Linked DNA regions of Tribolium castaneum. The protein of the gene in region 1 interacts with the protein of each later gene in a pairwise test. Links are inferred from orthologs where the notes say so. Each region holds a gene or a part of one and is shown on either strand. Other genes may lie near its edges. The genes, in order: BRCA1-associated protein and Hmg-2.

Region 1 (4,262 bases):
TGTGCCAAACATGCGTACGAAAGTGTCACGTACCGTTTCGTCGTCCAGAATCTGGAACTGCGGCTGTAAGGGGGCTCCACACGTGCCAAACTCACCGATAGGTATTTCTCGCATTGCAGTTTGAAGCCCTGGATGTCGATGTAAGTGTTGCGTGACTTCGCCCCCGTGAGTAAGTACGTGTAGAGCTTCTCGGCCAAGACGGGGTACCGCGGGAACAAACACTTGGTGAAAACATTGAGGGAAATGCCGGTAATGTGCTCCTCCTCAAACGATTTGTCGGCCAAAATCTGCAATTTGAATTCAAAATGGCGCCTAACCTCAAATGCCACTACCAACATGACGGCTTGTAATTTAATAACCTATCACTAATTTGCGTTTTTGCGGGGCAAAGCCACACGGGGGTGGTTTATTGGGTGTAAAACTCACTTTGGTTAGCTTCTCCACGGGTAGAAGTGCGCTCGGCTTGTCGGCCTGGATTTCGTGGTTGGAGACCGTCCGCGAGATGCTTTTGCGCGAGCCGTTGGACGTAGGCGTGGAGTCGCCCGACTTGCTATGGGGGCCGTGTCCGTGGTGGTTCCCCATCTTGCGCCCCGATTTTTATCACTGACTCATTTTAGGTTACTATGGCGGTTGGTATCGCTGACTGGTAAACAAAACAACCACCAACCGCACCGCGACAAAAACACCAAATTGATTTTGCAAATATTTAATTACACTTAAATTAACAATCACATGAGACAATTAACGCTTTTTCTTGCCTTTTCGTTTATTTTTCGCCGGCTCGGCGCCCACTGTGATCGTACCGCCGGCAATGTCATCGCGATCGTCCGATTTTTCAATGACCTTGAACGTTAACAATTATTTAATTAATTAACGAACGAAATACCGACTTGTTTAGCGTCAATAAAAAACATCAAGTCACGGACTTGTTCCCTCAATTCGGTTATTTCCTTTGCCATGGTGTCTTTCTCAGCCTGTAATTCACCCAACTTGGTTTGCCATTGTTGCTGATTGTTGCGCAAGGCTTTCCCCAGCTGTTTTTCCTCGTTCAGATCATTTAAAGTCGCGTTTAACCTAAAGAAACAATAATTAGTGACGTTGTTTGGGTCAGGTTGGCAGCCACTTGACGCTCTGTTGGGCGATTTTTCGCTCCAAAGCCAACTTTTCCTTGGTCAAATTAGCTATGTCCGTTTTAAGTTGGCTATTTTTCTCGCTTAATTCGAGCACCTCTGCCTTAAGTTCCGAATTTTCGGCGTAATAAATACTATCAAGTCTGCAAACAATAATAAGTGACATAAAACCCACGACAAGGGGGCCCTAACTGTGCTAATTTATCCTCGAAATACAAGCGTTGCTCCTCCAACTGCGAGGTTAACAAATAGGTGAATTCGAGTTGCACTGAATCGACTTTCTCTTGCGCGCACTCCGCCTCGGAAGGGGGGCCTTCCGAAGGCACCAGTTTCCCATCTGCCTTATTCTGAAGTAACCTATGTACGAAATTATCGCCTTTGTAGTCCCACACGCGGTGGGACCCCAATTGGAGGGCGTAACAGTGCCCCGATTCGCGGTAATGGAGCGCCGCATGGCCCCCTTGGTACCGCCCACAGCCCACGTGACCACAGATAAGACAAATCCAAAGTGCGTCGGCTGATTGGGCCACTTTTCCGCACTGTTCACATTCGGAACTTGCCGCCTGTTCGGGGCTTTGGACACAACGGCACACAGGGCACGTGGAATCGCCCCACTGCTCCAGACAGTTGGCGTGGAACGCGTGATTGCACAAAATCGTCAAAACACCGTCAACTGACTCATCCATGCGCTCTAATAAATAAATATTTAATTTTTTCAATTGGCTTTGGGGGGTTTACCGAGACAGACGGGGCAAATGGGGAGCTCGGTGTGGCCGGGCGGGGGCACCCCATCGTGGGCCCACTCCACGCGCGACACCCAAACGATCCGGCAGATATTATCCGGTTCCAGACTGTTAAAGGGGCCCCCATTAAACGTGACGTAAAACTCCATAGCCGAGTCGTGCGTCCTAAAACTGGGGGCCAGGCTCAGTGACTAGGTCAAGGGGGCACTCACGTTAACAGAGCCATGTACTGGTTGGGTAAGGAGTCCCGGAGCACCCGAATGTGGGCAATGTCGGCGTGACAGGGGGCTGTGAACGCCAATAGGTCATGACAGGTCATTGAGGTTGGCACCCCTAGCAGACAAAGCGTCAACGCCTCCTTCCTATCACTTAAAACACTTTTTCCCCAATAATTAATTTTCTCAATTAAATACAAAAAACCTACTCTTCTTTATATAAATGCAAGATTCCTTTCGTAATTTCGACAAAGGGATTGCCGCTGAAAAACCCAATTTCGCTTTTGGGGTCTTCGGGCTCCAAGGGGGTGGTCTCGCGGGAGCACACCGGGAGGAGGCCCCAGTCCTCCCGAGGGCTCTCCAAGCGGCTGGGGAACGTCTCCACGCTGATATCGCGCGATTTGCGCCCCGTTTTCGGCTCACTTGAGGCCTCAGCACCCCCATCTTCAAACGACGCAATTAGTGAGGTTAGGTGAATTGCGAGCCTTACCAGCGCTCGGGTCGTTCACTTCCACCCGAAGGACGCATTTGGAGACCAATTCGGACATTTCGCGTGAATTTTGCACCAAAATTTGGTATACAACGGGGTATTATTGTTGCAACAGTGGCGCCATTTGAGTGACACTAATATATAGGGTGATTGAGGGAAATTGGAATGAAAGACGCGTCCACAAAATTAAACATTTTATTGCGAAAATGGAACAATTACCTACTGTTAATGTAATAAATACAAGTAATGGCGATGATTAGTAAGCATAAATAATACGTCAGCCTGTGGTAAATTAGTCTTGTTCTGTAATTGACATTTGCGACCTAACGAATAAATAAGTAGAAATCTTCCTTTCCTGATATGTCGGTGCCGGCAAACACTAAACATCCAACATGAATACACAAGTAACAACGATTCAACGAAAAACACAACAAATTTCCGTGTTAAAACCTAGAATAAAACAAATACCCTGCTTTTGGAGAGAAAACGAATCGAAATTTATTCCAGATAGACTAGACAGCTAGTCGAGTAGATGCTGCCGAGCGTGAACAGCATCGGGACTTCCACGCACACGGTGGGGCTCTGCCCCCCTCCCGACTCCTTTGATTTTCTTAATTTACCGACAAACTTCGCCTTGGCCAGGAGACGTCTGTCGTACGGCAGGAGGAACACTGGTTTTTTAGTATAAGTTATTTCGAACGAATTCAACAATTCAGGACGTCATAAATCGGGAAATCTGCAAAAAATCATTATTATTATTATTATTTAAGAGGCGCCATCACCTGGTCGGATCCTCTTTATAGTTTTTGGGAGTTTCGAACAACTCTTTCGGTATGTTGTTCCGAAACTCGAACTGCTGGAATGTGATTTTTGCAGTCACTGTCGGCAAGATGGGAATCTCGACTTTGACGGGGAAACCCGTCGGGAGTTTGAATGTGATGAAGTCACGCAGCTTGGAAAAGTGTTTGAAGGGGGCGATGACCTCGAGGACGTTTAGTAGCATTTCCACCGAGAGGGGAAAGTCCGAACTCTATATAAAATTATTATTGTACCAATTTTTTGGTAAATAAAATTATAATAGTACCATGGCTATCGTGGCCTTGAAGGCTTTTGTTGTCTCTTTGTAAACTAGGTCGCGGCCAAGGCGAGGATAAGAATTCACCTCCGAATTTATGTATTCTTGCCACGTGACATTTTTTTCGGGAGGGGGGATAAGGCTCGTGCGGCGGACCGGCTAAAAATTATAAAATTAACAGTTAAATTTAAAGTGTTGCTGCAGCGTTGCCAACTCAAAATATTAAATTCCACAGCGAAATCTCACAAATAACTACATTTCTAAGTCAAAAATGTTCTTAAACAGTCAAAGGAAAGCGACAAAAACACAACTTTACGCTTCATTTTGAAAAACTGAAACTTAAAATGGTAAAAAAGTACAAAATTTTGAACAAATTAGATTTTTTTTTCTTATTTTTGACGAAATTCGGTAAAAAAAACGAGTTAAATCGGGTGAAGTAAGTAGAATAACATCAATTTTAACTTATCTTTGTGTCAATATTAGCAAAACTTTTCGAATAAAAATAGTTTTGACTTAAAAATTGTGTTTTTTTTGACTTAATTTAAGAATCTTTGGTCAATTTAAGCAAGATTTCACAAAAAAATCGGTATAAACGAACGAAATAACAAA
Region 2 (3,936 bases), on another chromosome or scaffold:
GAACATTGTTACCCACATTTTTAAATTTATTGCTCAGCTTTTTTGTAAAAGATCACGAAATTGGACTTTATTGTAAAATAAAATTTTCTTTTTCGAGCGTTTTGGTACGTTTTTCAGCCAAGAACGAAATTATTTCCCAACATTTTATGGAAAACAAGATAAAAAGAGCCCAACAATAGTATCTGTTTAAAAGAAAATGCTTTTTAGAAATACTATTGGAAAGATTGAAATCAAAACAGGTAGTCTGGTGAAAATAAATGAAAAATTGGCCACTTTTTTATTAAATTTTAAGGAAAAAAACAGTACAGGTGTTCCACTTATTCATCTGATAAACCTACTTCAAATTTAACACGGACAACTGAACAAATAAACACAAAATTTGAAAAAAAGAAACTGAAGAACGAAACAAAATATGAAGTTAATTAATGATGTTTTTGGAGTTTTTTGCTCCCACGCACAATTGATTCTCTATTGAAACTAGCGTGAAATGTGGGTTTAGATGAGCGTTTTTGTAAACAATTGTTACACCTGTTGATAATCTTCGCGAGTGATTTTAATGTAAAATTGAGAAACCTCTCGCTGACTAATCCCTTTATGCAATATGTTTGCGTTGGTGTTTTCGAAGGCGAAATATTTGCCGCCAAAAGCTGCCGTTTTCCGAAAATAGCCCCTAAAAGTGTTATTTATACCTTTAGGTGTAATTCCGGATGGATGGCTATGGTGCAAGTCCAGGTAGAAAGCCGAAATCGCTCACTTTTCCCGAATCTGCATACCTGCGCCCCTTTATCACAGAGATAAATAATCCGCCAAAGTTGCCTCTACTTTACATAAACCCCCGAGTGGTCGGTGTTCAAGACATTCATTAGCGCATCGGTGTATTTTTAAATGGCACGGGGGTGCCGAAATTAGCGTCAGACTTAAATATACAGATCAATACACATGTCATTCATTTACACATTCATAAATTAATCCAAAATAAATAGCCTTCACAGCAGCTGCCAAAACTCGAGCAGGAAGATAACCTAACTTAACGCCAAGGCCTTGCACACTTACCCGACCACAACCAACACTCTATAATCCATGGGGGCACCCGTGCTTCATACCATCACACAAAAAAAAACAAAAACTGCACAAAGGAGACGAATTTCTACAAAAAACGCGATTTTCAAACACGACAAAAAAACGCCTTGTGACCGACAAACGCCACAAAAAACGCGCTTTTTCCTACTTACAAGCACCCGGAATTTTACTTTCGTAACACAATGCCTCAATAACACAACTTTTTGGAACCTATCGTTTGGTTTCCAAACCCAAAATTTAGGGAGTTTCGAAGTTGGCGACAATGCCAGTCAATTCTGACGTTACCCGCACCCGCCACCTACCAATCGAGCCACAAACCCGGTACAGGAACCTGCAAAATGGCAAAGTAACGCGCGTTTTATTGTTAATTTCGCCCAATTGGCCCGACTTTTAATTGAATTAAATGGGGCGGTTCGGCGCGTTTGGCCCTTTGGAGCGCTCGTGGCCCCCCAAAACAAATGAAACATTGACAGTTACAAACAACTGTCACGTTGGTTAGCATCTTCCCAACCGGACGTAAAATGGAAAACAGCGAGGAAGTGGCTAATGTCCCGCCGGAAAATGGTAAGAAGCCCCCCAAAGCCTCCACGTCCAACGACGAGAAGGCCCCCGACAGCTCCGACAACACGACGCAGCAGAAGCCCAAAGTGGCCAAAGCCAAGAAACGGAAGAAACCGAAAGACAGCACGGCCCCACGGCACCCGCTGACCGGTGAGTGTTTCAGTTCGAGGGGCGTCCAGAGGTGTCTTACGGGGGTTGTAGGGTATGTGCGGTACTTGAATGACAGACGGGAGACCGTGCGGAGCGCCAACCCCACCTTGTCGTTCGCCGAAATCACGAAAATGCTGGCAAATGAATGGACGAATTTGCCGGCGGATAAAAAACAACAGTATTTGGATGCTGCAGAGCAAGACAGGGAGCGGTACACGCGGGAATACAATGCCTATAAGCAGACGGAAGCTTATAAATTATTCACGCAGCAACAGAATGAGAAAAAAATGAAGGAGAGCAAGGAGGAGAGCAAGGTGAGTTGCTAAGGGGGCGCGTGTTGCAGCAAAGACGTGGCGGGCCAAAACCGTACATGCGGCTCGTGTCTTAATAACCATGCAATTACAACTGCATACACTATTTAAAAAAAATACAGTTTTTAAAAATGTCAGTTTTATTTTTAATGTCAGACTACTGTCACTCGTAATAATTGCATCGTGGCACATTGCCATTGGTTACAAGTTGTCACGTGGTTGTCATAATGCACTTCGATTGGTCACAAATTTTGAACGTAATGAAAAATCTGTAGAAGTAGAAAAAAAGTGATATGTAATCACAGAGATTTAACAGGGTGTTCCAAGTCTTTTGGCCCTAGCAAAAATAAGTATTTCTAGTTGATTGAATACACTAAAAACGTCCATAATTTTTTATTAGAAAAAAATTAAACCATATATCTTGAAGATTACAAAAAACTACAAAATTGTATTGTACGGTTTTGGTGATGCGCTTTCTGTTTGTGCCCGCACCCGGTAATTGTCGGAAGGAAGCCCCCGAAATTTCTATTTTCAGAGCTCCGTTCAGCCGGTCATCAACAAGGAAATCCCCGATATGGATTTCGGTAATTTCGACATCCCCATCTTCACGGAGGAGTTTCTCGATCACAACAAAATGCGAGACTCGGAACTGCGCCAGTTGCGTAAATCGAACACAGATTATGAGCAACAAAACGCAATTTTGCAAAAACATATCGAGAATATGAAGGACGCCATTGCCAAGCTCGAGTCTGAAATCTCGCAGCAGGAGAAAAATAACGCGTCTTTGCAAAAACATTTGGATCATTTAAGGGGCACGTTAACCAATGGTTTTTCCGGTGTGAAGCTCCCAGGGGTCAAAGAAGTCGCAACGCAGCAAAATATCGACTCGTACATGACAAATCTGCATTCGATTTTATTGGAGAACAGTAGTCATGACGCGAACCTTTTACATACTGTTAGGAATATTGTCGGGCGGCTTGAGTTCAACGGATGACAAACAAGTCGCGCTTCCAAGAGAAAACGAAAAGTTAAGAAGATCACGTAATTTTTTATATAGCAGTTTTATTTCACTTTCAGAGTGGGTTTTATGATTTGATTAGTTATGATGGTCCTGTGATTCATACGTTAGGTATTGTGTAATTACTACTAAGTATTTAGTAGTTCAATTAATTTAATGTATTTAATATTCCGTCAATAAATTTCGCAAGATATTTATGAAATCTGGTTTTATTTTTACTCCCATCACCAAAAAAAATATTGTAGCTAATTCCTTTGGAAATTGTTCTACTTTAATTATGTTTTAACAGGTAGTAAAAATTTTAAACATTTAATCTCCACAACAAAAAATAGAGCAAAAAATTATTGATTCTTAGATTGCTGACTTTTAATATTTTTTTTCTTCAGTTCTAATTATACATTTTTCTCATTTACATCCAAGGGAAATTGATGAATTATAAAAAAACAACTTTTGATCTCTACTGAGCTGAAAATAATATTTTACGCATTTTTTTAAGCACACTCCTTAAATTTTATTCTGTTTTGTTTAACTGCACGAATATTCAATAAATGCCGCAAGATATTTACGAAATTGTGTTTTATATTTTGTTAAATTGTTACCTCCGACATTATGAATCAATTTTTTGTGCTCCAAAAATAATTTTTCGGGTCAAAACGAAGAAAAATTCGTGTAAAAAATGTTTACGCGGCTCCGTTTAATTAACCCAAAGTGCATTTATGGACACGTTTGATGATTTATATCAGAAGCAGCACTACATGTTTTTGTGTCAAATTAATTGATTGCGTGTAGAAAACAATAATTAAAGTCGAGTTAAAG

What was found.
Region 2: the proteins of BRCA1-associated protein (region 1) and Hmg-2 interact in a two-hybrid assay, tested with the Homo sapiens proteins (2 studies listed by BioGRID and IntAct). The link is inferred for Tribolium castaneum from reciprocal best matches to the Homo sapiens genes BRAP and HMG20A.

Annotation. Positions count from the first base shown.
Region 1 is NC_087401.1:15,927,464-15,931,725, forward strand, and holds BRCA1-associated protein, read right to left. Parts: upstream 2,729-4,262; 5' UTR 2,637-2,728; coding exon 2,579-2,636; intron 2,533-2,578; coding exon 2,298-2,532; intron 2,251-2,297; coding exon 2,086-2,250; intron 2,045-2,085; coding exon 1,869-2,044; intron 1,822-1,868; coding exon 1,323-1,821; intron 1,274-1,322; coding exon 1,124-1,273; intron 1,075-1,123; coding exon 891-1,074; intron 844-890; coding exon 742-843; 3' UTR 691-741; downstream 1-690. Other genes in the region: uncharacterized protein LOC663019, read right to left, coding at 1-57, 96-287, 427-582; ankyrin repeat domain-containing protein 13C, read right to left, coding at 3,299-3,314, 3,361-3,608, 3,663-3,812. UniProt on the Homo sapiens protein: Negatively regulates MAP kinase activation by limiting the formation of Raf/MEK complexes probably by inactivation of the KSR1 scaffold protein.
Region 2 is NC_087396.1:21,976,434-21,980,369, forward strand, and holds Hmg-2 (high mobility group protein 20A), read left to right. Parts: upstream 1-1,368; 5' UTR 1,369-1,601; coding exon 1,602-1,791; intron 1,792-1,842; coding exon 1,843-2,105; intron 2,106-2,637; coding exon 2,638-3,096; 3' UTR 3,097-3,322; downstream 3,323-3,936. UniProt on the Homo sapiens protein: Plays a role in neuronal differentiation as chromatin-associated protein. Acts as inhibitor of HMG20B. Overcomes the repressive effects of the neuronal silencer REST and induces the activation of neuronal-specific genes.